Oreochromis niloticus: one gene and its partners. The protein of the gene in region 2 purifies or fractionates together with the protein of the main gene of each other region. This does not show direct contact. Links are inferred from orthologs where the notes say so. Each region holds a gene or a part of one and is shown on either strand. Other genes may lie near its edges. The genes, in order: importin subunit alpha-1, ncbp2, kpna3 and phax.

Region 1 (6,993 bases), on a different chromosome or scaffold from region 2:
AAAATGAGAGCAGCTCAGAGGGAACGTGTGCACTATGGATTACCCCAGTAAATAACTGCCCAATTTGCCCAAATCAAACCAGTGACCTCTCACTACTGTCAGCTAAAGGTGTGCATTACCTGTTGAACAGGAATAAAAAGATTCACAGCTCATGCTAAGGCCTCATTGATATTTGCCCCTTAAAATGTGTCAATCTACTTGAGCTTCAGTTTTGGATTGGTCTTTAATTACATATTTAATTGTTTATAGAATGCCAGAAAATTGCTGGTGTTCTATTTTGATATAAGGTATAAAAGCTGTTTGTTTCAACTTGTTCAGGTTGTTGATGTATGTATCGTGAGAGAATTTAATACAAATGTCTGTTAAAGGCACAATAATATTTGATAGAAACTCACAGGAAATACAGACAGGTCAGGGGCTGACAGCAAAGCCAGGAGTGAATGGACACCACCATGTGAGATCACTAGGTCTCTGGAACTGGGCCCATCACCTAAATATAGAGGGAAAAAAACATCTTTAGAGTAATCAGAAAAAAGGCACATAAAGGCAGATACTTTGAAACTACACAAGGTTAGCAAAGATAAAATTTCAGACTTCTAGTTTTTAGCTTAATCACGTTTGGAAAATGGACCCAAAGTGGGACTCAGCAACAACACACTTTTTACTGTATACATACAGAAATGCACTCTAAAGCCTTTAATATCACAGGCTAAATGGAACTCCAGATGAACTAAAGTGGGCACAATTGTCCACAATAATCTACAACGCATCCTGACATCAAAACTATCAGAACATACACCTGGAACAGTGTAGGATGTAGTAATGCACAGAAGTACATCAAATCACATCAAATCCAAAGAAAGAGGTTGAGTTTTGTGAGCCACAGTACCTGCAATGTTACCCAGAGCCCAAATGGCCTGTTCGCTGATGTGCTGATGGGGTGATGTCACCAGGCTGATGAAAGCTGGAATGGCCCCTCCATCTATTACAGCAGAAGTCTGGTCTGAAGTACCTGAGGCAATGTTAGTCAGGGCCCAAGCTGCCTCAAATTGGATGGGGGGGCATTCAGACAACGCCAGAAAACTAACAAACGTTGGGATGAGTCCAGCAGCAATGATGCTGTCAATAGGTGGCTGTTTTTCTCTGGAAAGTAGCCTTCTGTGAATCAGAAAAACAGAGTTGGATCGTTGTTAAAATTGAAGTAACTTAAAAGTAAAGGAAAATCAGTTTTCACACTGCTTAATATCATTGATATAGTAATACCAGTGATATAACTACAGGCAGATAGAGAGTGTTACAGAAGGAGGACAAAGAATAAGAATAGTACAGTGTACAACAAATAAACAAAGTTAAAGTGCCACAGGCCCATAGTGAGCCCCTTTTACTGGGAGAAAGCGCAAACATTTCATATATATACGACACCAATTTAAAAAAAAAAAAAAAAAATGAGGTTAAGTTTAAAAAAGTAAAAAACTGAGTGTGCAACAGAGTGGTGCAAATTGCACTGATAAAAAAAATATGTACACTATAATACACTACAAAAACACAAGTGCCTCGTTACGCAACCTTTTTTTTTCTTCCAGCTTGAGGTTGTCACTGAGCAACTGTCTCACACTTCCACACCCACACACAGTCAATTAACCTAACATTACAAGTATTACCTGGCTGCCTGCGTTGCCTGCAGCTTATAATCTAAATTCTCGCTGTTTACACCTCCGACAATTTCCTCTACAGTCCAGTGATGAGGAGGCTATGAAAACAGAAAGAGAAATGAAAGGGGATTACTGCCAATAAAACCAGAGCAGCTAAAAATAACACATTTAGAGGAACTTGCTTTGAATGTTTTTAGGTCATGGTAACTCAATCAGGGGAACATAGATCAATTATAAATGGACTTTTCATAAATTATCAGAGATACAACTTTTTAAAAAGTCAACAGTCTGTTATCACCAGACAGACACCTGCTCCAAGATTTAGTGACCTTTGGATAATGCTCGCAAATTGAGCAGGCTTAGCTTTTTTTCTTCCTGTGTGCATGCTCTGCAGAGGTGTTCATTTGGAGGCTGTTACATCCTGTTTATAACGAGTTAACTTCTGTAATAATCCAATGTTTCAAACAAGTTAAGCAGCTGTGGTTATATCAGGTGGGTCACCTTTACTCTCACAGCCAAACAAAACACAGAGGAGCTGCTGATTACCCTTACGTTGGGGTCTTTCTCTTGCAGAGGGGACGTTGGTTCGTCCAGAAGGCTGTGGACGTTTCTCCTCTTGAGGATGTGATCATCCTTCTTGGCTCTTCGCAGCTCCACATTGACTTCCGCTCTTCTGCGCCTCAGCTCCTGATCATACCGACAGACAAATAAAAGATATACCACAGCATTCAGGGCATTTGGGATACCGAATTAACTCTGACGTTTACTGCTAGGTTCAGAGCTTACATCAGCATCTTTTCCTTTATTTTTGAACTGGTTGAGTCTCGCTCCGTTGTCCGTGCCCGCTGACATTCCTGACCGTTGAGCAACACAATCGCTTCCACTAAAATCAGGCGCTACCTGTAATAATTTCACAACGACAAAGAATAAGCGGCAGCAGCCACGGTTGCTTTTAGTTTCAGGTGTCAACTAGTAAGCAGGCGCTGAGCTAGCTAACCAGGCGGTTATCTCGAAGCCAAGCCGGTTATCTAACACCATGTGGCCCTTCAGATATAGGGTCTGTCTAATAATCTAAAAACCCGCTGAAGCTCAGAAAACAAAGGTTATACGCTGTATTAGCAATTACAAAAGGTCAATAGCAATTTCAATTAGACAAAAAACAAATAAATGCACTATTAGCCACATAGCATGTACAACGTGCTTACCGTTCAGAATTCTTGTATTCTTTTAATATATGCACAACGTCACGTAACAACGTTCCAATTTTTCTGATTTTTAATTGGCCAGTTGGATTTTTTAGCACCGCCTCATTGGTCACGTTTAAGGAAAAAACCATCAAACAACAAATATGTTGTCAAAGGCAACCGCTGTCAGTATCGCGAGAAAACATGTTAACGTTTCTGTGCGGTAGCTTGTTCTTCTTGTGCTAAATGCTATTGCTGGGTTGTAAATTTTATCATGGCTAATTATTCCTCTTTTAAATAAAAAATACATGCAATTTTTACTATCAACTAAATGAATTATACCACTGACTACATATTCGATTTTCTATTTTCATGACTGAATTTTCCCTACCTGTGCGACGTAATGACCCAGTGGCCTAATGGATAAGGCATCAGCCTCCGGAGCTGGGGATTGTGGGTTCGAGTCCCATCTGGGTCGTATTTAGCTTCCTTTTCAGGGTTCTACTGTGAGCTCTTTCACAGATTCAGAAACAAGAATATTGGAACATTGGAACATCCGGTTGTACATTGTGTGATAATACTAACGAGACATTTTTTTATTTTTATTTTTTACAGTCATTGGGTTGAACATATGACCAGCGATGAATCCTGTAACAAGCTGTTTTCAACATTTTATGGTTTGTGCCTTGTTCATAAACCCATTCAGTTGATCTGCACAGTTATATTTGATATATATAAAATGTTAAAAAAAAAAAAATGAAAAGAACAAAAATCTCTCTACAGGTAACATACAGCAGATCTATGAAAAAGGGCCTCAAAGAACCTGTACCACAATATTATGGCTATCTAAACCGTCTGTAGCACAGCCACAACCATCCTGGAGACAATGAGGAGCAGTAAACCACTGTCTTATTGGCGACAGGGCAACAGAAATAGCAGCAGCTAACTGCTCTGTAAATATATCTGAATAACACAAAGTCATAAATATATATATTCAAAACAGGTTATTTGTTTATATCTTATTGACTACAGCCTATTTAACAATATAAGCCAACATATCAGACATTAAAAAACACATCTGCCATCACTGTTTTCAGATGTCTCTATTTCTGCTCAGCAGAGGGCAGTGAATACACATGGATCAGTCAGATCTAAAAACTGTATTTAAATTAAGTGAGGAAGGATGTTAACTTAGAAAGTCTTATTAGCTCTTGTTCCTAATTAGTACCTATTTAATATAACTAGGCTATTTATTATTAAATAACTAAAAAGCCCAGTAATGCAACTTCAAACAGTCAACTGGAAACCACATCCCAGGAAAAGTTTCACTTTGAATAAAACCTGACTTTGTGTGAAGCAGACAATACGCACACAGAGTCACAGTTTCCCTCAAAGGCTGTAAACAACACTGCGGGCCTATTCAGAATCCGTGCATGAATGAAAGGAGTGTCACGTCCAAGTGTTTATTTTCTGTGTTTGGGACGTCCCACCACCTCCCTCTTCCATCCCATCTCCTTCCTGAGCGCTCCTATAAAAATCCCAGGAATCCCAACTGTGTAGCAGACCCCTGAAAGTGTGTCCACAGTGAGCTTGAAGGATGGCAGGGATTACTTTGACGCTTTTGTTTGTGGTGTTTCCTCTTTACAACACAGAGGAGCATGTCGTTAATGGTGAGTGGATTATTTTTCTTAATCTTTTTTGAATGCCGTGTTTAGTGACATTATTATCATTCATAAATATCCTAAATATCTGTTATTACATGCAATTACAGATATACAATATGCTTTAGATGGAGAGTGAATTGACCTCATGTTGTACCTTCTATGTTTAACCCTGTAACATTAAGTGTATCATATTTAATAGATGAATTTCTGAGACCCTTACATCACCAGTGTGATGTTTTTAACCCTAACCCTCTTATGTGTTTTTGTTTTGCTGAGCAATAAATTGCACAAAAATGGCAGATGTAGCAAAAAATTATACAAATTAAGAGTCACATGTGCAAATTTATATTTATTTATGTATTTTTATTTATCATAAGGTTCAATAAACACTCAAGTATTTTTCAAAAATGACAAATCTGTAATTATTTCAGGCATAAAAGGGATAATATTGTATAATATTGTTTGTACTCTATTGATAATCGAGTAATTAGTAAGAATTCATCAAGGAAGGTCCACTTTATCAATTACACAAAATTCACCCATTGTCGTAGACCTCTTTTTGCCAAACTGCGCAACTAAAGTGAAGCTTTGTTTCTTTCGACTGCAGGTCTGTACACGCTGATAGAAAAGGGTCAGAGCAGCTTTGTGGATCCAGCTCTGAGCAATCAGAGCAGACTGGTGGTTAAAGAGCCCAACCTGCCCATCAACGAGCTCCTAGAGAAGAGCAGCAAGAGCAGCGAGTCCAAGTTCAGCCTCCATCCTCTTCCTTCTGCTGTGTGGCCCAAGCACACCGACCTGGCCCACATCCCCCGCCACCACAGTCCCCACAGCAAGAGCAAGAAGGGCCCAAAGAGCGACCGTTCGGAGGAGCACAACAGCGAGAAAGCCAGAGGAGAAGTTACTGGTCTGCATCCCAAAACCCAGCTCACAGCAGCTGCAGGTGCTTCCACCAACCGCACAGTACAGAAACCCAGTCAGGACACTCAGTCCAACATCAGTCCTCCTCACAACGGCGAGCCAGAGGGACACCCCAACTCCAGACCCAGGGCGCCGCCTCAGACCCAACCTCAGGCTCAGCCACAACAACCAGCTGTTCCCCCGCGCAAAGATCCCCCAACCGACGCATGGACCCAGAGGAGAACCGGCCAGGGAAGTCCAGTCTCTATCAGTCTGGCATCAGTGCAGCGACCCGGAACAACAGCCGCCCGCCGGTGATCTTTAACCGGCGCTCCTCCAGCCTGCTTTATCAGTTTGACATCATGCGGCGAGGTATGGGAGGATTTTTTTTCCTTTCCTGACCTCAAAATGTGACCTGTGCATAATTACAGAGCTGTCCAGATATCTTTTCATGGGTTCTTTGAACCTTACTCCCTTCTGGGAGTATAGATTTTAAATTATTAATCTTGAATAAGACTGTAGCCAGATGGGAACATCTTTGATCTTTAATATTACAATATTTCTCCCTCGTAACCATCTGCAGCCTCTGGCCTTTAAATAATATATATTACATGAGTGCAAATTACCAAAACAATAAAAACATTTGTTACAGAATGAAAAAGAGCTGCTTTGTGATTGTATTTTTCTTAGTGTCATTACTGGAAGTTGACGTTTGATCACAAGGAAAGGCCCAAACTCAATTTTATTATAAACCTTTAGTGGAAAAAAGTGGATCCTGCTGAGTTTAAATTTACACTGCTGTTTTCTTTCCTGTGCTTTAAATATCACTTTAATTATCACTTTGAAAAGTCCAATCTGTTGCTGTGCCAGTATATATGTCCTGTATGCTGACACAGGTCACAGAGTTCACACAGAGGGTTGTGATGAGAGCGGTGGCTTTGTCTTTTCCTCTGGTAGGTAATTAAAGTCTCCTGCCACTAATTATAACCGCTTCCCTCACTTCTGGCTGTCAGTGCATCCCCTGTGTGCAGCCCAGTGGTGGTTATAATGAAACTAATGCAAAGCAAGGGGGAAAGCTCTGATTTTGTAGTTAAGGTTAAAAAATGTACCACCAGCGTGATCCCGAGACACGGTCCACCTCCTCCAGCCCCCTGCCGAGGAATGTGACGCCTCGGTTTTGTAATGACAGCCTCGTCTTTTCTAATGATGCTGGAATGAGATTCAGTCATTCCCTGACTCGCTGTGTTTGTCCTCCTTCCCCACAGAGTCCGACTTCACACATGACGCCTTCTGTGTGAGCGAGTGCAGGAAGGAGAAGGACGAGAAGGAGCATTACTGCTACAGTGAATTTGGTACGTGTCTAATGTGAGACAAAGACAGACTGGTTTTCAGTGCTGGTCTTCTTTATCACACACACACACAAAATCACATTAACATGTTAGCCCTCTGGCCTGTTGTGCTATTATCAACCGTCATATTTTATGGAAACCTTGCTAAGATTTTTTTTTCAGTGTCACTCAGTTCCACCATCAAGTAAACGCAGACATTTATTTTGAGAAAATATCCAAAGTTGGTAAAGTTTAGATGGCTAATTAG
Region 2 (7,042 bases):
TTCACAGGACCTTAGAAGCATTACTGTGATGAAAAAAAGTGGGAAAGGCTAGAAAAACTAAAGTGACCTGAATGTTCATCAGTCTACAATGAGCCAAATTGTCTGTAAATTAGGTGTAATTTAGGGCTGCTGCTCCTCTGCATTTGAGACATACTGCAGAGATCATCCCAAGGTTTCAATCCCAAAAGAGGTAGCAGCAAAACACCTGCAGACATCTCCACAAATAGGATGAAAACAGTAAGGAAACCACTGCACTCCAAAAAAACCTGCTCCTAACTATTAAGCGTGGAGGTGGTAGTCTCATGTTTTGCAACTGTGTTCTCGAGCCCATGACACCTTGCGACAGTTGAAGAAATAATGAAGTTAAATTGCATGAAGACATTTTGTCAGGACAGCAGTCCATAACCTGGAGCTTGCAAAGCAATAAGAATACGAGTTAATTAGCACCAGAAAACTGGAAGACAGTGAAACAACATTAAGGTTTTGATTAGGTTTGACACTAATCCAGCTGAGATCCTGAGGTAGGACCTTCAGAGAGATTTTTTGATCTTCACATCCTGGGAGTTTTGTATAGGAAGGAAGGCTCCACTGTTTCTCCTCAGCATTCTGCATGTTGCGTAAGCACTTATTGGCCATATCTGATTGTTGAAGGATGTTTCACAAGTTATGGAATTCAAGAGTTAATTTTTAACTCTTTCCAGCCTTTGCCATAACTTCTTAATGTGTTAAATTAAACAATGAAAAGCACAACTATGTGTGTTAATTAGCTTAGTCAGGTTGTATTCAAGTTGAGTGAAATCATCGTAATTCCAAATGATTCACAAACTCCCTTCTTGAAGCTGTGCATAGATTTTAGAAGGTCAGCTTGTCCTTCTTCCTGACACAGAAGTAAGAATGTCTCTCACTTTTGCATTGTTTGCATGTCTTTTGAGCTTGGCTAGATTAGGTTAGCAGGTGTGTTAAGAGAAGGGATATTTACATTATGATTAAATCTCTGCCAGACCCAGCAGATCTGTCAGAATGGTCCGCATCACGCATTACTCACTTTCCCTCTCTTTGAGGATTGTTTGATCATTGAAAGGCTGATTGCTCCAGCAACAAAGCCGAAACCCAGACTAAACTATCTACACAGATAATAATGCTTTGTTCTTTGGAGAACTCAAAATGTAACTACTGCATATGAAAAACCTTCAGGATCTGTTAAGAGGATGATGTCCTTGAACATACTGATTTGATTGACACACACTGGTTGTTTTTTTGTTGTTTTTTTGCTTTGACTATAACAATATGTGCTTTCACTTTATTTTTCCAGGTTCCAGGAGGTGCTGCTGAGTGGAGACCATGTGACCTCTGATGAAGATTAAAAGGCAAATGTGAGAGAAGAGTCAGCAAAGCTCCTGTTTTCCTTCTACCAGCTTTGCTTTTTATTCAATAAACCTGTGCATTTTGTGTTCATAAAACGCGATTGAAACATGTTCAGATGAAGTAAGTTGATCTCTTGGAATAATTTAATCCTTCACAATTTTGTCATTTTATTTCAACACTATTCAATAACTTTTACCCCAATACTACTTGGTCACTTAAATACTACATGTTGTCTTCATATTACATAATGTTCAACAAAGTCTAGATCCTGGTTACCATAAAAATTGAATGGGTCTACAGCAACTACCATCCTCCTATCATCTTTATCCTGGTTGCAGGGGGGCTGGGAAATAACCCTGAAGTGATAGGTTACGAGGCAGGGTACAACCTGGACAGCTCACCAGTCTATCACATAGAAACAAACAACCATTTGCACTTACATTCACGGGTAATTTAGAATCACCAGTTAACCCTAACTCTAATAACTGCATGACTTTTAACTGTGGGAGGAAACCAGAATACCCACAGAGAAACCACTGCAAACAAGCCAGAATGTAGATTTGAACCCAAGACCTTCTTACTGTGAAGCAACAGCACTAACCACCATGCCAACAATCTAGGAAATACAGGAAAACTATGATTTCCTGTATTTGATGCAGAATTTTTTTGTTTTTGTCCTTCACAGGTTAATCCACAATAAATAGCAATAGCATGCACGTGGTGTGTGTGTGTAGTTGTCTGCCTCTTATATCTCCAGTGATTTTCCTGCAGTTTGAAATCTCGTGCGATCTTGTGAATTTCATGAGTTCAGCAACTAACCACTCTGACTAGATTGTTTTATGTCATCTCAACAAGAACAAATTAAGTTGTTGAATTTCGTACAGATCCTTCATGATTTAATTACGTTCATAGAAACACGAAATTATGTTCAAATTACAAGTTAGACTTTTTTAATGTAACAACCACCCAATTTACTTTTTTCGGTATACCAAAAAAGTAGAGGCGGCTGCTCGACTTGACTGAGATGGATGCCTTCCTCAAACCACGATCCAAAGAGCACGGGACTGAAACCCGTGCAGTGTCGCGGGATTTAACATTGCTATATTATTGACTTACTTCACTTGAACATGATATGAACAATTTAATCTAGCCTCTCTGCATATCATGTAGTCTCTACACTATATAGTTACATTTAACTTTAAAGCATGAGACACTTGTTTTAAATACACGCAAGATGCTTACGTAAAACGCTGGCCAGTCCCTTTTTTTCAGTGTGTATTTGACTGTGGGCTCAATACGCTGTACCGTCTCTTCATCTCTTTTCTTAATTTCTTTAATTTTATAAAGCGGGTTTATTCACATCTGCACACTGTTTTTGTTATTTAGGGGGTTTTTTGTTCAGGAAATAATTTAGTGTGAAGTGGGAGTCAGGTCAGACTAGGATACGTTTTGTTTTTTTTGTTTTTTTAACAGTAAGAATTTGAATTATGTAATAAAATGTTTGTAAGTACTTTTGTTCTTTTAATTTCTTTTTTTTTTTTACTACTTGAAAACTACTTTAGCTAACCCCTAGTTATTTCTATTTTAATTTCAAGCAGGCTTGCAATTGTTTTTATGGTCTTCAGCAGTAGTTCTGCAGGCTTTCTGAAAGTGTTACTAGCATCCTCTTGCAAAAATGCAAATTTTGTTTTCACTCTTCTAATTGAAACTAGAAAGACCCAAAATGGAAGACTGTCATGTATTTACTTCGTCAGAGCCCAGGCCTCAACATTATTGAAGTGGTGCACAATCATCTTCACAGACAATGGAGCAAAAGGCAGCCAACATCCAAAAAAGAGAGCTCAGCTTCATTAATTAATAATAACTTTTTGTTAAGCATAAGATCAAAGTAAATTAATTCTCCCCCCCCCCCCCCCCCACACACACAGACACATTTTCTCAACATATATAACATATATAAAACAGTAAAATATTAACAAAATAAACTATTTAAAAAAATAGCAGAAGAAGAACGAAGGAAAAGAGGGGCACTGATACTTTAGTAGCCAATAATAATAAAAGTGCAGTAGCCAACAGCATGGCACCACATCTCACACAGCTCCAGCAGTCATGTGACTTACGACTCAGTTTAACAGTAGCAAGCTTTCAGTCTTTTTGTGTCCAGTTTGGACACAAGAAACAAAACGAACGACAAACTTTTAAAACTGTAATATTAATGAATAAAAACAATCTGTAATTTGGGAATAAAAGCCAAATTTGTTGTTTTATTTTTATTTATTTATTTTTGTTGACTTTGAGGTACTGTGACCTTTCATTAAAAAACATATTTTAGTATTATTTAAAAAAAAAAAAGTTGAAGTTCATGCGTGATTATGCCCTTGTACTTGTGTAATAGAAACAGGACTCAAAATAGTATTTTGATGCGTAATTAACATTTTTTAACATTTTTTTTTTAAGGTTTGGGGGTTTTATGATTTATGCAAATAGGTCTTTAAACTGTCACAGACAGTCTGCCTGCTGGTAACAGTGACTGTATCTTGGCAATGATTGAATATCAACCGATGACTGTACAAATCACTGTTATGTGTTTTCTACAGTCAGTGATACCAACAGGCGGCGCCATTAACCTGATATAGAAGTTGCTGTACCCGGACTTATTCAAAGGACGGACACATGAAACGGAAGCAACATCATCGCTTTTCCGGCATGCTCCTAGTTGAATAGCAGCAAAGCGCCTCACTGCGATTTTTTCACGATGTCTGTTAAACTAAACGCGCTAAACAGTGATTCTTACATTGACATTAGTCAATACAGAGACCAACACTTTAAGGTAAATGAGGAAGTGGTCTTTAGGAACGCGGTGACTTATCATGATTTACGGGAATGTAAATGTAATGTATCTTATAGCTAACTGTTAGCAAACAACAAAGGCGAGCGGTGCTGTGCAGTGGAGGTGACTCGGGAACAAACAGAACAGCAAAACATATCTCTGTATTTTAACCTGGCCTTAAAAAGTCCTGATGTTGTTTTATGATGCTTCGTTAGGACTAAAGCGTGGCTAACTTATAAATTAACTCCTTGCTTCAACACAGGTCGTTTGATCGCTATAATGTCAACTTCTTGAGAGCAATTTTTTTAAACATTTGTAACGTTGCTTGTGCTTTTAGGGTAATCGCTATGAACAGGAGAAGCTTCTGAAGCAGAGCAACACTTTGTATGTGGGCAATCTCTCCTTCTACACCACCGAGGAGCAGGTAAGACACAATACCTTCACCAGTTAAAGTAATAACCCGGCTTTATTGGAAAGTTGCTTAATTTTTTAAAATAAAATTCTTCAAAGAGACCAATATGATGGGGGAAATGGCTGACTGAGCTACTAATAGATTAGGAGACTCATTTATAAAACAGTACATGTCATCTGCCTGATAAACAAACATGTTTAGTCAAATATTGTCCTCTAGTTATGCCACCAAAACACCACTGGCATTACACATAAGCTTCAAGTGTTTATATGTTCAGAGCAATCACACAGATTCCACTGATGTGTTGTCTCAGTGGAAGTTTTAATAGGTGAATTTGATACATTTATGAATTTAAGCCTTTTTTGAATTATGAAAAAAAGCTTATTTTGATTGTAAAACGCGTCAGACTATAAATTTACAGTCCATATGTGCAGGTGTTGACTGCACATATAGACTGACTAGAGTAGGTAGGTAGGGCATGTGTGTGACAGGCGCAGCAGTGCACTCGATGTTGGGTGGCTGTAGTTCAGGAGTTGGAGCAGGTTATCTACTAATTGGAAGATTGTTGGTTTGCCAAAGTATCCTTGGGCAAGATGCTGAACCCCAAGTTGCTTTCTAATTGTGTGTGACTGTGAGGTAGAAAGTGCTTGTATGAATGGATGAGTGAGCCATGTTGTGTGCCTGAAAAAAGTCATGTAAAGAATGGCATTTTAGCTGTTCTGAGCTTCACAGCAGCTTGACACTTTCAGCGGCACTGCACTGAAGCTGTCTTTGTGTTCAAGGGTTGGAAAATTTGATGGAAAAAACTGAACGTCAATGTGTCGCACATAAAATATATGTCAAAAACACATAATAGACATATTTTCAGTGTTGATTTTTCTGATAGTTTATCACAAGAGAAGTCCCAGAGTTGGGAAATTCACTGCAGATATTTTGTTAAATTTTCTCAAGTTTTCTAACTTTTTTTGCCACTGTGAACAGGTACACGAGCTGTTTTCTAAAAGTGGAGATGTCAAGCGTATCATCATTGGCCTCGACAAAATCAAGAAGACTGCTTGTGGGTTCTGCTTTGTCGAGTATCCTTCAAAAATGTTTAATTCATGCTAAAAGAAACTGTCAGTAATTTGACTGCCTTCAGAATAGGGCTGGGCGATATGGCCTAAAATCCATATCGCGGTATAATTTGAAGCACGTGCGGTAACGATATATATCGCGATATATTCTTTTCTTCTGTATAACGTATTTTCCACACTATGAGGCGCACTTAAAATCCTTTAATTTTCTCAAAAATCGAGAGTGTGCCTTATGTATGAATTCTGGTTGAGCTTACTGACCTCGAACCTAGTTTCCACCTAAACATGACATATCATGTTCTGACTGAGAGATTTTTGAAGCTAATTAAAACGTACAGCTCTGCTACCAGTTCCAACATAAATGAAGACAGAAAACAAACAGCAGTGGCGTTTGCAGGGTTACTGAAGTTGGACTACCTGGTATATAATGTTGTGCTACGTGATTGCTAGCGACACAGCTATGTTAGCATAATATTAGCACAGTGAAGCTGGAGGATGAACGCCAACTTTTTTTCCACTCGATAAAAGTTAACGTGAGGGTTTCTGGTGGTTAGGGACAAAGGCAATCGCATGGCAGGATGCTATACACGGGCCAAACTTCAGTCAGGAGAACAACTGAGATAATCCATCCACAATACAAGGTTAGTTATTAATATACTGCAACAACATGGGAATAGAACAGCTGCGAGAGAATTCAGCATTAATGAATCAATGTTACGGAAGTGGAGGAAGCGCAGTTTTTGGCTTTCCCCATATTTCAAAAGTGCTTCATCTCTTTGCTATGACTGTCACCCGGCATAATTTGCAGATGATTATGGTTGTAGCCGCTGCGATGCTTTCGACCAAAACAGGCGCAGCTTGATGACATCATCAACATGCGCTATCGCGGTAGAGCGGTATAGTCAAAATCTCTATCATTGGCCAAATTTATGTCGTTTCTATCGTATATCGTTTCTATCGCCCACCCCTACTTCAGAATCACCTTCAGAAGTTACCAGAACATCATGAATTGCACGTGTTGTGCCTTAACGCTGTCCCAGATACTACACCCGTGCAGATGCAGAGCATGCCATGCGCTTCATTAATGGCACACGGCTGGATGACCGCATCATCAGGACAGACTGGGATGCCGGCTTCAAGGAGGGAAGACAGTTTGGTCGTGGCAAATCAGGAGGACAGGTGAGGGTTAGGATATGAGTACTTTAATAAATGGAAGCAACCTGCTGTGGATGCCGACTGCTGGTTTATTTATTTATTTTTATTGGAGCAAACTACAAAGCTAAAAGTTAGTTCTGTGAGTAACTGCACTCGTATTTGAATTAATCCAAAAAGATATTAACCCACGACTAAAGTAATGTTAAA
Region 3 (7,291 bases), on a different chromosome or scaffold from region 2:
TACACCAAGTAGTGCACCAAAATCACCTGCCTTAAAAGAAAGCAAGAAGCTATTTCTGCAGATTAACTTGACATACTGGAACTACGTAAATGCAAAGGAAGAAACTTGTGCAAAGAGAATTATGAACTCTTTCCCCCATAAAGACATTTGATGACCTCCCCTGTACCCTATAACGGTGATTTTTGACTCCTCAGACACTCCTTCTGATTCTTTTCCCCATAAAGACACGGTTTGATGACCATTAGAGTAGTTTCCAGGTTTTTCCAAGGATAGCTGCATAGGCAGAGACCACCCTCGTAATTTCTGATGTAAACCCATTTATTTGGTTTTATAAGCAGGCCTAAACTTTGACAGAAACCACTCAGATCACAGTAGACTCTTAGTAGGCTTTAAAGGGGCAAAGAGTAAATCTATAAGTGATTATCATTAATTTTATTATGACACAAAGTATTTTCATTTTCATCAAATTTAGATCAACCACTCACTCTGCACTGTGTTTCAGATTTAGCTGTTTGAATGTTTTCTGACACACAGGGAGTGATCCATCTCTGCAAATATTTTTGCTAGAGAAACCAACTTGTATGAAAGTTGTGATTGATCACTGAGTTGCCGTACTGAGATTGTTTGAAGTGTGTGACTGTGAACATGCACACCATACACACAATTCAAGATGAGCTTATATTTTTTCAAAAAGCAATAGGATTTATCAGATCCAGCATTTGATCTGTGGTGTTTGTTCTGTCCTATATGATGGTACTCTGCAGCCCATGTGCAATGAGTCTGCACATTTATTTATATCAAATAATCATAAAGACAGATAGAGGCAGTCACAAAGTTAAAAAGAATATAAGTGCACGGCCTCTCTCAGAGACAGTAACTGGACCGCTTATTAGCAGTCGATGCTTTTCGACAGTTGTTTTTATGCAAGTAAGGTGAACTTTACACAGCTTGTAACTAACTAGCTTGTAAGGTTGTGGTGCAGCACACATGTACGTTATCATCTGTTCTCTTTATCACTTCTTACTGGAACACTAGGAGCTAAACAAACTGACATAGTGGCCCTCGCACACATTGGCCCTCACTAGTGTTTCTTGAGTAATTCAGGCTACTTAGGCATACTTCTAAACTCTTAAGTCTTTGATTACAAAGGCTAAAATGTAATTTACGGGTTCAATCGGCTAAGTGCTGATGATTATTACCTCTTTTCTGCTGATGCAGTGCAGTTTTGAGTCAGTTCTCGCTCGGCGCCTTTTGAGTACAAGCCCACATTTTGACAGGTTTGAAAACCAGCTGTTGTGTGGCAGAAGTTGGGGTGATTTCTGTGGGAAGAAAGTCATGAACACATTCAGTCTGTGGGCTGTAAATCATCTTTTTGGGGGTAGCCCCTCCCATTGATGTCAGTGGTTTCAGCTTTGGGAGCAGCAGTTTGGTGCTACAGTGTTGATGGGTTTGTTTGTTTTTGGTTTAAATGCATAGAACCGGTTTTGGATTAGACACTAACACTATGTTGGCGGCAGAGATTTAGCGTGTCTTCATCGTTTTGTTTATCCATCACAAAATGCCTTGGCATGTTTTTTAAATCCAACTTTGTCAGTCACATTTTCATTTGCCATAAGAGGAGAAAGCAAAGAAGTCTGTGAGATGGGAACCTTAGTGTTTTGTATTGTCTTCTTGTCTTTGTTTTTTTGATAAAAGTTCTGTTTAAGAGAGAAAAAAAACAACTTTTCCTGCTTCTTTTAAAATATAGAAAAGATTTTAAACATGGCACAGATGTAAGCTGTGACCTCCCGAGATAAGATACTTCAACAAGAGTTTCATGCTTTTCTCAGCTTGTGTATTTGTGTTCCTCAGGGCATCACATATGACCACGTGGAGCTGAATTTATATCTGAACGGAAAGAACATGCATTGTCCTGCCTCAGGGATCCGAGGCACTGTATACCCTGTTGTTTATGGTAAGTTGATTCTTGGTTTCATATTTTCACTAGTTATCAATGATTGCTAACCATATGATCATTGTTGCCTTACTTGAATATAACAAAACAAAAAATATATGGATCCTTTTGTATTCGTTATAGCAGTTACAACTTGATTCCACTAGAGGGCTGTATTGCACATCTTTGCACAGCTGTTCTGCAGACAGGCTGACAGATTTAGTTGAATAGAGTTTAATAGAGTTTTTAATGTGAATATTTCGCCACACACAGGAAAGAGTGCTCTATTTGAACTGATCAAACACAGCTTTCATCAGAAGGCAGCGGCCTTGCCACAGAGAATCGAGGCATGCATAATTTAGTCCAGTAAAAAGTTATTGCGATGATTTCAGTGACTTGATTCAGTTCTCCATCTGATGTGTGGAGCTTGTCCAGATAATGTTGGACAGCACACATGTAGGATGTTTGCTCTTGACCTGAACTCTCTAACTAAAGCTGTGATCAGAATGCAATCGCAAGTGTCCAAAATTGTATTTAAGATTGGGGTGGGGGGGGGGGGCGGCATCACCTGGAACCTGATCACATCACTTTTAATTTGGACTGCTTCCATGTGTACTTGTAAATCAGATCTTGGTGTAATATTGTGGCGTAAACAGCCAAATCACAATTAATTCGCTAGCATGTCCTGAGTGTCTGAGAGTTGTAGGTAACAGTTGCCGTTAATACCCAGATATTTAGGATGAAATCTGTTTCATTTATACCACCAATCCCAACCACTGCAATTCTGCATACACAAACACATCTATAATGTGCTGTTTTCATCCCTGTGTTTGGTAACATTCTCAGACAACACACGTACACAGGCTCAGGTTGAGGTTTTGAGAGTTTATCTCATAAACAGAAGAAAACCTAAAGCTGTTTTCACAGAGTATATACTTTCAGGGTCTTTAAAGGTGAAATTCAACCATAGAAAAGTTAAGATGTGAACAAGAATACAGTGTCTGAACTTATGATTTATCGTGTCTTTATCTTCTGTTCTAGTGGATGACAGTGCCATCTTAGACTGCCAGTTTAGTGACTTCTATCACACTCCTCCACAAGGATTTGAGAAGATCCTCTTTGAACAACAAATCTTCTAAAGGAGCACTTCGGCCTCAGCCCCTCTATATGTTGTCGCCCTCCTCTATATCTCTTAGCAACCTCTGTATCACTACAGTTTGACCTTAACTGGTAGTATCATTATGCGTGGCTTGGAGGCATCTTGTTTCGTTCCCCCTGTTTACTCTCTCTCTACTGCTGCTCTGGATTGACTTTAGAGTACCCATGAAGAAGTGGGGATTTCTCTTCCTTGTTCGACTACAATCGGCTGTCACAGTCCGTGATGATGGAAAGCTGTAAAATCACAAACTTATGTCAATAATAATCAATCCGTATTAATTGAAAACCTTTCAGTTGCTGCTTTAATCCACAATACATGTGTGTAGATAACAGACAATGGATGTAATGGTATGTTCACTGTTTTTCAGGATGAGAAGCCATGTGTTATTGACATTGCTTTATATATATATATATATATATATATATCATCCAAAATATCATACTAACATCTCAGCATACACCCTGTATTTATTTGTATTTATTTGATTTCCAGATCAAAGTTTGGCATCTTATTTTTTTGATATAATATGTATTTTGTTTTGGCCAGCAGAAATTAGTGACCCAATGAAGGGTCAGCTATAATTCTAATACATTGACTATTATGCTGCCTTTTTGAATTATCACGCAATGAAAACATGGCGATACCGCAACACCTTTATGATTAATGTCACTGCATTATTTAGAGTTGATAGGAAGATTAATACAAACAATAAATCAGTGCACATTCCAGGAGGTGATGGTGCTGGCAACTGACATATTTCTGAAATTGTAAACACTAATATATATAAATCACTTCTTTGAGCAGCCCTTTTTTCACCCTAAAAAATATAGAGTGTGTTTATTTTAACTATCAGAATATTTCCAGAGCTGGTGCTGGTCGTCTCTGATTAGAGATATATCAGAAACGTGGAGTTGTCGTTATGTACAGGCATTGCATATCCGCTGCTGAAGTGTGACGATTAAATATTTCAAATGCTTGTCCTTGTTTGCACTAATGATGTTATTGTATGAAACCAAATACTGTTGATTCATTAAAGTTTTGTGTCTGGCGGCATCATTCTGGAACACTGTCATGTCTTGAGATTGTAGATCATGAAGCTGAGTATTTTTCATGTGCCTCGCTGTTAACGTGGCGGTTTCGCAGCTTTTTTACGTCCGAAAGTCGTCGTCGTGCGCAATAAATCGCAGGTGAATTTATTGTCACTGCATCGAGGAAAGCCGTGGAAACCAGGGCAGCCCAGACAGGAGGTATGCAATAACTCCTCCCCTCACTCTGCGATCTGTTACGTACTCCTCCCTCTGTTCGGAGCCAGCAGCGGCGCAGGACCTGCCGTACATCGTCTTTCACGGAGGAGATCCCGAAAGCCGGAGTAACAGCTAAACCCCATACAGCCATGGCAGAAAACGCCGGCTTAGAAAACCACCGCATCAAGAGCTTTAAAAATAAGGGGCGTGATGTCGAGGTGAGCTGACATATAAACGTTAGTCTTCGTAACATGACTCGAATTAAATTTATGTAGAAAAAGAAGGTCTTTGGGCCTCCGTGGGGAGCCTGGCCCCGGCAAAGCTCCCTGCCAACCAGCCAGCCTGCTAGTTAGCAAGCTAGCTGGCTAATGCGAGCTATCGTGAGGAGTTCGCCATCAAAGGTGCTATCTTGCTACCGGTAAAATTCCTCGTAATGAACCAAAGGTGGTGATAGCTATCAAGTTCGTACCAGTGGCTTGCTAATATTGTAATGTCTGTGAACGATAAACTGTGTTCTATTTGAATCATTGGAACTGGGGAAATTAAAGGCAGGCGATGTAGCTGTCAGTGCCAGCTAGCGTTAACTAGCTACTTGCAGAGACACCGGTCACAAGCAAGGCTGGGCCCTCCCGGCTCCGTAATCCTGATGTTCGCTCTGTTTTACAGCCAGCTGAACTCAAATGACACCCGTGTTAACTCGCGAGCGTCTCACACAATTGCCATATTAAGCAAAAAGATAAGTGTGTGTATAATTAAATGTCTGTTCCACATCCACCCTAACCAAATATTGCCCCTCCTTGTTAGCTTGCTAATGTCAAGCAAATGACTAGCATGCGATGCCAGGTGAGGCGGCTGAAGAGGGCTGCTAACTAAGCCACTAAATGGTTAGCTGAAAGGTAGTGATGCGGTGACCTTAGCTTTACGGTACATTTTCAATCAGAAAAGCAAACTACACTGAAATTGCTACAACACCACGATGAAGTGAGGAGAGGCACTTTAGGCACAACATTAAGCTTCCATTGCTGTTAATAATAACTTTTTCTGACATTGCGATGTTATATGAAATTTCTTAAGTTAATCTTAGACATATTTCATAATAAACAGTGCTGTTACAGAATAAATGGTGAGGGCATTCGTATCAGATTCACTGCTAAGACTCATTCTAGAAAGCGCCATCAGTAGTCTGTCTGCACAGCTGGCAAATCTACGCTGGGCATTTTGCAGCATCATTCATCTCACGAGTCTAATTATAAATTTCTCTGACAGCATTTGACTGCAATGCTCATTGACATGATTACCAAACCATTTGGGTAAATGCTAGGCTAGGCTAGGTTCAGAGAAGTCAAGATAAAGGAAGCTGGGACCAAAGGCTCTAATGAAGTACCAGCTATTTTTTTTTGTTTTTTTTGTTAAAGATTCCATATGTTATTTTTGGATTTCATCAGTAAACAACGCTCAGCCATGGCATTCACCAACAAAGACACACTTGTGCTGTGTTGTTCTGATCTATTGGTAATCCTGCGATAATCCTCAAACAAAGGTATGTCTGGAAATGGCCCTTCAAAATCCACCAGTTTCCAGAAAAACTCCAGTTTCCAAAAACACAGATTGAAGACCTTTGGGTGGTTGTTTTGAAACTCGGAGTCACTTTGACAAGCACATGGCTACTATGACAAGCAGATTTGTGCCAAGTGAATTCCTGATGCTATTTTTGACAACTTGTCTGACCTGGGTCCTCTTAAGAGTGTCAGCGTGAATTTGAGTTTTTGTAAACGGATGACTCAGACTACAGCAGAGGGGGGGGAAAAAAGCCAGTTTGGGGTTTTATTTATTTAGGTCAGGCATAACAGATTGCTCTTCATTTCTGACACCATTTGGAACAGCAATGAATTGCAAAGCAGTAAAGCCTCGCTGCTACAGGCCATAAAACCCTTCTTTGTTTTACTGCACGTCATACACAGTGTAGATATTGGACAGGTTGTTTTTTGTTTTGTTTTTTTGGACCCCCAGTAACAAATTTGAAAAGAGTTTTTGTTTTTTCTCCCTTTTTTGGTGTGTTTGGTAGCACCTGTGTGCCCTCATCAATTTTAATTTTATTTAAACATATTTGTTGTACCAGTATTGTAGGAACTTTTAAATATTTTAGGTCCATCAAACAATCAGAATTTCAGCAATGAATCAGTTTAAATGTTTTGGTCTAGTTTAATTTGTCTTGATAGTCAAGCTGGACGGCTACTTTTCATCTCGGCAAAGGAAAACATTTTTCAGTGTAAGCGTCGTTATTGTTGTTTTGCAGTGTTTGGGAGACACCTCTGCTCTGCAGCCTCCCAAGTTATGACTTTCCCAAATTACGTAAGAGGCTATTTAGGAAAGCAACATGAACCTCTTCAAATAGTCACAAGATCTGAGACCATCTCAAACTGTTCTGGATGAATTGGAAACCCAGCAGACGCACAAATACAGCAATTAGTTACTCTCTTTCTCTGCTTGTCCTCTTTCTGAGTTGTTTTATTATGATCTCACTTTCAGTTGGATTGGTGATGGTTGCTTTTTGTGAGATGCAGAATCTTAGTTTTTCATCAATTTTGTGTCACCTGTTTTTAGTAGTTTTTTTTTAAAAATATATATCCATTAAATCACTTGGCGTAAAAGGCTACAGTGTCTGTTTTCTAACAGTAAATGACATGATTTCTCAAAAGTTGGGAAAATTTTCTCATTTCCTCTTGTGTATTTTTGTGTGTGTTTGTTTTCATTGCAGACTATGAGAAGACATCGAAATGAAGTGACAGTTGAGTTGAGAAAGGTGAGAAACAATACCCCATTCATCTACACACTCAAGTATTGCAAACCTTTTTCTGTTTTCCAACCAATGGGTTTGGACGTATCAAGTTTTAACATGCTTCATATGGATGTTTCACATTAAGAGTTTCTAGAAACACTTGGGAAGAAATCTGC
Region 4 (7,693 bases), about 7.3 Mb from region 2:
TCAGTGCAGAAATGTTTAAGTTGTAACTGAGGATGTCCTTCATGATTTTCTTGTAGAAAGCCGTATTCATGGTTCCATCAACTGCAAAACGTTGTCCATGAAGTAGCAAATCCATCATTCTTCAGCTGACATTTAGGATTCCTGATCAAGACACTACTCGTTGAGTAGTAGTGTCGCAAAAAAAATCCAAACAAAAGCAGGAACTGAAATTTTCATCAGTGCAGAAATGTTTAAGTTGTAACTGAGGATGTCATTTAGGAGTACACTCTGTCCTAACCACCTGCATAAATAAATGAAAAATGTGAAAGGTCTAACGTGGTGGACGTTTATCATTTGTGGTGCTCAATGGATGAATAAATAGATTTATTTATTTTTAATTGTAAAAACATAATTCCTCCTTTTACATTTTCATAAGCTTTCATGTGTGCCTGATTCTCGCCCCCAGGCCATATGTGTGACACGGCTAAGCCATGGGGACTGTGTACATTTGTACCAGAGTTACACAAATTAAGCAAGACACCTGTGAACTCTGTTAGTTTAACCTTTACTATAGCAGGTGGCAGTCTCATACACATGCAGTTTTGCATTTTTCAGTTTAATTCTTGAGTTATTCTTTTATATTATACATTTTGATATATGCTGTATGGAACAGTTAAGGGTTCTTTTGATATACAGCTTTGGACTAAAAAGGCTATCAGCTCTTGCAGAAGTTGGAACATGGCTGCCATCTAGTGGACACTTCAGCACTTTTACATCTGCCATTCAATGCCTTCGCTTTCTTTGAGAAGCTCCACTTGGTATGAATGACAGGACAGTAATAATGATCTGATGATAATAAAACTCCGCTTATTCAATATTTATATTATTTTGTGTTTGGAAGCGAGTGTACAAAATAAGAACCCTACAGTTTTTTAATTCTTTTACCTGAGTCACCACTTTTATTATTTTCCAGACCGAGGTGCATGAAAATAATAACTCAAGAGCTGTTTCTATAATGATGCTTACAGCAACAAATGGTTATGTATTTGACTATCACAACATTATTTTGTTGATAAGGACTGGTTTTAAAAGGCAAACAACATTTGAACTGCAAAAGCTCCAATCAACATGTTCATGCTGTATGAAACAAGCTATGTGTTAACAGAGGCGCTGCTTTTATTGCTGAGGTTTAAAAAAAAAAATAAACAAAAAAGGACACCAGTGTGGATTTTGTATCAATCGCATATTCAGTGCTTTCAGTGTTTCATTAGCATCGTTGTTCAGACAGCAGGCCATTTTCAAAACACCTCCAGGTCTGCCGCGTTGTAGACCACTGCTGTCTCCTCAGTGCCCACAGCAGCTTCCTCTTGTGCCTCCTCGTCTTCTGCAGCTTCCTCCAGAGACTCCAGAGCCTCGTTGGTATCACTAGCAAAAGTCTCTCTGGAGACGTCATCGTGCTCCTGCAGGTTTAGTGTGCCAATGGCCTGCTTCATCTTCTTGGCCACCAAATGCCGCCTCCTCTTCTGGGCAGCCTTCTTGCTCTTGTACTCCTTCACCTGTTCCTCAAAGAATATCTGCTTGATTTGGGCCTTGGTGATACTGGGGGTGTTTTTCAACAGGTTGAGATACACCCCACCCGGTGTCCGGCGTCTGCTGCCATCCATGGTGTACACACCGCCGCTCTCCTCCAGGGTGGCAGTCTCTCCGAGCAGTTCTATGGCTTTTTTCTTGCCAACTACTTTGACAACTCGAGCGATCAGCTCCTTTTTGGGCTCCTGCAGCCTGTACGCAATCTCATCTATCACCTTATCTTCAGGGTCACCTTCTGTGATCTCATAGCGGCCTTTGACATCCATCTCTTCTCTGGGGCCCAGTCGCTCCTTTGCAGGCCTCTTTCTCTTTGCATCAGCTCCTGTGTTCTCTTCTGACCCCCTACCCTTCATGTACTCCTCCAGCTCAGCATCCAGCATGCTCACTTCTCCTCCTTCATTTGACTGTGCCTCCATCTCCCTCTCCTTCTCCATTATCTTCCGAGCTAGGACGAAATTATAAGTCTCCACATTCCTGCTGGACATGCCAACACCATCCATGCCAAATATGCCAAGTTCTGCAGTGATAGCGTCCTGGCACTGCTCTTGTACTACAGAGCCCCAAATGTTATTCACCTTGCGGCCACCCGTCGTCCCCTGGGCGGGCAGAGGGGTCGGCCCTAGCCGGGCGTTGCATGCAGGCGGCTGTGGAGCAATGGTAACTTTCTGGCGTTTCCGGCGCCAAACAGCCGCCTCCTCGTCAGAGGACTCCGGGTCACTGTCACTAGACTCTGCCGTCCTACCTGTGCTGCGATAAGCTTCGGCTGGAAGTGCCTGAGCATAGGCTCTGTTCTGGAAAGACTGGCCGCAGAAAGTCGAGGGAACCTGGGGTCGAGCTTCTTGTGCTACTGTGGCTGGTCCCATCTCAGTATCCGAGCTGGACCCAGAGATCTCTCCATCTTCCAGATCACCGTCCATGATATCTCCGCCTCCCGCCATTTCTTTTCTGAAAGCCACACCGACGCTAATGGCTGCACACTCCTGTTTTATTACATCGGCTAAAGTTGAGACCACTAATTAGCGTGAACAGCTAACGCTGCACCGTTAGCAGCTAACGACACCGTTGAACCCAACAGAAAATTAATTAAGTCCGGGTTACTGAGGAAAAACCTCCAGTGCAAGCTACAGCAGCAGGCTTTCTGCTCTGTATACAGCTGGACTTCAGCCTTGTTCTATTTCACACACTGAACTGCTAGGAAGAAGCTAACAGACCAACTTGAAACTCACGGAATAAAATCCGCGCTAGGCTAAACCGACACTTCCGCCTGCAAATTCTGACACCCTTTCAAAATAAACAAAAGCGATTAAACGTTAGAACGTTCTTTATAAACACTGCAGAATCACATAAAATATGGTTGAGAACACTTAAATTTAAGTATCCTAAATGTAAATATATATTACTTTAATACTTTATTCAGAGCTAACGGACAAACCAATCGGTTACACTGGCATTTACACGTGTGGCATTTCATATTTCCATATAATAGGTTGATCAATGTCTGAAATATAAAGGTATTTGTTCAGATGCGTTTATCTCTATTTTTTATTATTTAAGGAGATTGTAAGAATATATTTCTTTGTGCGGTTGTCATCAAATCCTGTGGTATTTTTTACCTACTATGAACAAAGTAAGTCGTCATCTCCGGCGGATGTTGCGTCAGCAGAACGGCACCGTTACAGATAAACAATATGGCGGCGTCCGTACAGCGCCTCACTTCTGCTGGGAGATTTTTCTTACAAAGACATTTACTGAAGAAGAATTCAATAATCAGGGTAAGAAGAATTGATTCAGAGTCATGTTTTGAGTATCTCATTTAATTGATATAGCTGTGACAGTTGTCAGTGCTCAGTGTTACAGAGGAAAAGCTCTGTGCATGGCCGAACAGCTATTTAAGCTAGCTAACAGTCGTCGAAATCTTAGCTATCACCAAATCAACTCTTACGGTGATGTTCGGATGTGCCCTGTGTAATACAACCGCCAATGGCGCAGATTTATTCATTATCGCTGACTGGTAGGAGCAAACGTAACGCTCCAATTTTGAAGCGTCATGACTGGCTGTTCTTCTCCCGTAGTTCACCGCTGGACCGTACAGACTCTTGGCTACTCAAGCTGCTCACCAGGTGGCGCTAAATGTTCCCGAAACCAAGGTGACTGCTTTAGAGAACGGACTCCGGGTGGCATCTGAGGACTCGGGGCTCCCCACCTGCACAGTAAGTTGGAAGTAAACAGTTTAAAACAGGCTGCTTTAATACGTGCACGAAAATATGTGGTTAAAATACCATGACCATTGTGAAGCAGCCAGCCAAATGTAATAGGCATTACACAGAATGTTAGCATTTGCTAGCTTTACCACTACAGGCTGAGATGTGGGGGTGTGATACAGTAGCAGCAGTTTGTGGAAGCGGATATTAATTCCTGCTTTCTTCCAGGTGGGCTTGTGGATAGATGCCGGGAGTCGCTATGAGAACGAGAGAAATAACGGCACAGCGCACTTTCTGGAGCATATGGCATTTAAGGTGATGGCAGCTACGCAGGAACGTTTTTAAAGCAGTGGTCTTTATTTGAATGTATGCTGCCCCGTGCAGGATTAACACATTCAAATAGTTCACAGCAGCGTAATAACAAAATAATGACATAAATGTAATAGTTCAGTTTCTTTAAAAATGAAAATAACATTCTAGAGTTTGTTCACTTTGTCTGTGTAAATGTGTGACAGGGCACTAGGAAACGCTCTCAGCTTGATCTGGAGTTGGAGATCGAGAACATGGGGGCTCACCTGAATGCCTACACATCCCGCGAGCAGACTGTTTACTATGCCAAAGCTTTCTCCAAGGATCTTCCGAGAGGTACGGGAGGGCAGAAGGGCTGAATGTTACACAGCAACATCTCAAAAGAAAAACCTGGAATGTGTTAAAGTATAAAATATTTCTCTGTGCCAAAGCTGTGGAGATTCTGGCTGACATCATCCAGAACAGCACGCTGGGAGAGGCGGAGATCGAGAGGGAGCGAGGGGTGATCCTTAGAGAGATGCAGGAAGTGGAGACCAATCTGCAAGAGGTGGTCTTTGATTATCTGCATGCTACAGCGTACCAGTCCACAGCACTGGGAAGAACCATCCTGGGCCCCACTGAGAACATCAAGTGAGACCAAACACCTAAAAACACAAAGTACTCTGAGGTTTGCTGACAGCATCCTGCACAGCTTAGCTTCCTGCTGTGTGTTTGTGATGCAGGACCATCAACAGAGGAGACCTGGTGGAGTATATCACCGCTCACTATAAAGGACCCAGAATAGTGTTGGCTGCTGCTGGAGGTCAGAGCTGTTTGTCTGCTCACGTGTTTGGTTAACATTTTCTGTACAACCTGCAGCAAACACTCACTGATGCATGAGCACTGCTCAAAGTAAGCAATAAATTCTGAACCAGAGTAAAGTTGATCTGATCTCCAGGACTCGTTCCCTCTCTGCTCAGGTGTTTGTCATGACGAGCTCATCGATTTGGCCAAGTATCACTTTGGAAAACTTCCCGGCAGACATCAAGGCGAAGCCCCGGCTCTTCCACTGTGCCATTTCACAGGAAGTGAGGTAAGGCTAACTTTAGTTTCTCACTACTGCATAACTGGGCATCAAATGGTCACATCAGCACAGAGCAGCTAATTGTGTTATTTAAAGTATAAGATCAAGTGTGTCAGAGTAACACGGATGTCTCTAAGGAGGATGCAAATGAAAGGTGATGGCTCAGGCCTGTCAGATATTCCCTGAAATGAACGATTATACTGCAGCTGGAGATGCTCGGAGAGACAGTGAGATATTGTTTAGCAGAGTAACCAGAACAAGTTTGCGTTCAAGTTGTATTTGAAGTGTTTTAAAAGACGTTTAAAAACAGTCATGCACTCAGTTTCCATAAACACGTAGGCATCGTGTCGCCTGCTGCTCGTCTCAGTCCAGACATGCACAGATTGGATTTGCTCTAACCCAGCTTGGTGCCTTCAAAACAAAACTCCTGCAGGCCTGTATCACAGTACTGAGAACTTTAGATATCAGTAGATCCAGTAGACCCTAGTTAAGTATTTGTGTGCTTTGAATCATTCGTTGACTGTGAAACTGGTGCAGAGTTTCATTTCAAGTTATTAAAACGGCTTTAATTTGGTAAATGCTTCAGGACTCTGCTACCGTTTCAGATCCGAGTGCGTGACGACAAAATGCCGCTCGCTCACATCGCCATCGCCGTAGAGGCTGTCGGATGGTCTCACCCCGACACAATCCCACTCATGGTAGCCAACACGCTCATTGGAAACTGGGACCGCTCGTTTGGTGGAGGCGTGGTGAGTACTGAGGAAACCTTGGATGTGGCACGTGTCGTTTTCTCTGTGTTGCTGCTGAATGCTCTTCCTCTTCTTCGCCATCTTTAAATAAAAACTGACCACACATACTCACCACACGCTCAGCATTTATTCAGCAAATCATTTGTTTTTATGTCCTCTGAGTTTAGAATCTGTCCAGTAAGCTGGCTCAGATGGCCTGTCAGGGGAACCTGTGCCATAGCTTCCAGTCCTTCAACACCTGCTACACAGACACAGGCCTCTGGGGACTCTACATGGTGTGTGAACCCAGCACCATCAACGACATGATGCATTTCACTCAAATGGAATGGTGAGTGCTTTAGTCGTCAGGTTTAAAGAAGGTTAAACCTGATGACAGTCTGATGACGTGAACGTGTTTAACGCTTGTGTGTCGCTGCTTCCTGTCAGGATTTCTCTTTGTACCAGTGTGACGGAGAGTGAGGTAGCTCGGGCCAAGAATCTGCTCAAGACCAACATGCTGCTGCATCTTGACGGTAAGGCAGCGTGACGGTAGAGCGTGCAGTCGTGCGGTGCCTGGTTTCACGTGTTGATCCGCTTCCTCCAGGATCCACCCCAATCTGCGAGGACATCGGCAGACAGATGCTGTGCTACAGTCGCAGGATCCCTCTTCATGAGCTGGAAGCCCGGATTGAGGTGAGTCGACAGATTCTTCTGCTTTCTCAGTAACTGTTACCGGAAATCCAACGTAAGTATTTGCGTTTTGTACAAGTTCATAACTGGGCGCACTCTCAGTATTCAGCAGCTGCAGTTAGCTCTGTTATACTGTTGTAAGGAGTAAAAATGAAAGCTAACAGTATGTCTCTGTTATTGCAGCTCACTGAGGCCTGTACTTCCCTTTTTATTTAACTGGTAACCATGGTAACTTGTTTAGACAGATTATAGTGGTGAGACTGTGTCTTTACTGGGAGGGCCCTCTCTCACTCACATGCTGCTGTATCGTGTCTCCAACATCTCCACGTTGATGCGTTCTTAGAGCGTGGTGTCGGAGAATGTCGCAGAATTCCACCTTCGTGATTGTTGAACGTAGAAAAACTGAAACCAGATGAGGAAGTGAGATCCCGGGAACGCTGAGCTTTCTAGCACTCGTCGTGTGTGTGCTTATTGCTGCTTCCATATTTAAAGTTAAAATACATCATAAGAGTATATTTTTCATAAGGTCAGGTTTCTTTACATTTAAAGCAGTTAGACCAGAACAATAACAGAGTCACAGTGATAAACTGTGTAAGGCCGAGTAAACCTCAAAGTAAATCTGGTAACATCCCAGGCACAGTGTTCTTTAAGCAGGACCTGAAATAGTGTTTGAAAAGCTCTTTTTGCTCTGATCCTCCACCATGTTTGTCATGTCTCTCCACAGGCCATCGACGCCAACACCATAAAGGACGTGTGCACCAAATACATCTACAACAGAGCTCCTGCCATCGCAGCAGTCGGTACGTTTTCAAACACAGGACGCCTGCAGAGGCTGAACTTAACGAAACTCACCGAGTATAAGATGGAAGGAAGCCGGCAGCTCAGTGTCAGAGTGGGGAGTGAATCCCAGTTTGAACTCTGTCAAAAACTCTGCTGTTGATGCAACTGATCATCACTATAATGACTGAAATATGCAGGCTGATATTTTGGCTTTTAGCCCTGATTTACACTTTTAATCAGTTTTCTATCGCCTGTAAAGAAAAGAATGGTTTATCATAACTCTGGGTTTAAATCTTGAGCCAAAACAGGAAGTGAGCGTAGCTTCCAGTGTAAAGTGTGACGATGCAGTCAGT

The links.
Region 1: the proteins of ncbp2 (region 2) and importin subunit alpha-1 purify together in Homo sapiens (affinity purification with mass spectrometry; 4 studies listed by BioGRID and IntAct, with this or other methods). This does not show direct contact. The link is inferred for Oreochromis niloticus from reciprocal best matches to the Homo sapiens genes NCBP2 and KPNA2.
Region 3: the proteins of ncbp2 (region 2) and kpna3 purify together in Homo sapiens (co-immunoprecipitation; 3 studies listed by BioGRID and IntAct, with this or other methods). This does not show direct contact. The link is inferred for Oreochromis niloticus from reciprocal best matches to the Homo sapiens genes NCBP2 and KPNA3.
Region 4: the proteins of ncbp2 (region 2) and phax purify together in Homo sapiens (affinity purification with mass spectrometry; 5 studies listed by BioGRID and IntAct, with this or other methods). This does not show direct contact. The link is inferred for Oreochromis niloticus from reciprocal best matches to the Homo sapiens genes NCBP2 and PHAX.

What each region holds. Positions count from the first base shown.
Region 1 is NC_031971.2:28,190,282-28,197,274, forward strand, and holds the start of importin subunit alpha-1, read right to left. Parts: upstream 3,004-6,993; 5' UTR 2,858-3,003; intron 2,847-2,857; exon of another isoform or gene 2,553-2,846; 5' UTR 2,505-2,552; coding exon 2,439-2,504; intron 2,340-2,438; coding exon 2,199-2,339; intron 1,751-2,198; coding exon 1,662-1,750; intron 1,159-1,661; coding exon 890-1,158; intron 491-889; coding exon 396-490; intron 1-395. Other genes in the region: procollagen C-endopeptidase enhancer 2, read left to right, coding at 5,625-5,769, 6,663-6,749.
Region 2 is NC_031981.2:31,413,980-31,421,021, reverse strand, and holds the start of ncbp2 (nuclear cap-binding protein subunit 2), read left to right. Parts: upstream 1-4,019; 5' UTR 4,020-4,120; coding exon 4,121-4,195; intron 4,196-4,532; coding exon 4,533-4,619; intron 4,620-5,588; coding exon 5,589-5,683; intron 5,684-6,720; coding exon 6,721-6,859; intron 6,860-7,042. UniProt on the Homo sapiens protein: Component of the cap-binding complex (CBC), which binds co-transcriptionally to the 5' cap of pre-mRNAs and is involved in various processes such as pre-mRNA splicing, translation regulation, nonsense-mediated mRNA decay, RNA-mediated gene silencing (RNAi) by microRNAs (miRNAs) and mRNA export.
Region 3 is NC_031987.2:21,794,093-21,801,383, reverse strand, and holds the start of kpna3 (importin subunit alpha-4), read left to right. Parts: upstream 1-4,281; 5' UTR 4,282-4,485; coding exon 4,486-4,554; intron 4,555-7,094; coding exon 7,095-7,139; intron 7,140-7,291. Other genes in the region: spryd7b (SPRY domain-containing protein 7b), read left to right, coding at 1,852-1,954, 2,975-3,072. UniProt on the Homo sapiens protein: Functions in nuclear protein import as an adapter protein for nuclear receptor KPNB1. Binds specifically and directly to substrates containing either a simple or bipartite NLS motif.
Region 4 is NC_031981.2:38,745,713-38,753,405, forward strand, and holds phax (phosphorylated adapter RNA export protein), read right to left. Parts: upstream 2,916-7,693; 5' UTR 2,508-2,915; coding exon 1,278-2,507; 3' UTR 514-1,277; downstream 1-513. Other genes in the region: pmpcb (mitochondrial-processing peptidase subunit beta), read left to right, coding at 3,258-3,341, 3,642-3,779, 3,999-4,085, 4,286-4,415, 4,511-4,709, 4,802-4,881, 5,039-5,151, 5,748-5,891 and 4 more. UniProt on the Homo sapiens protein: A phosphoprotein adapter involved in the XPO1-mediated U snRNA export from the nucleus.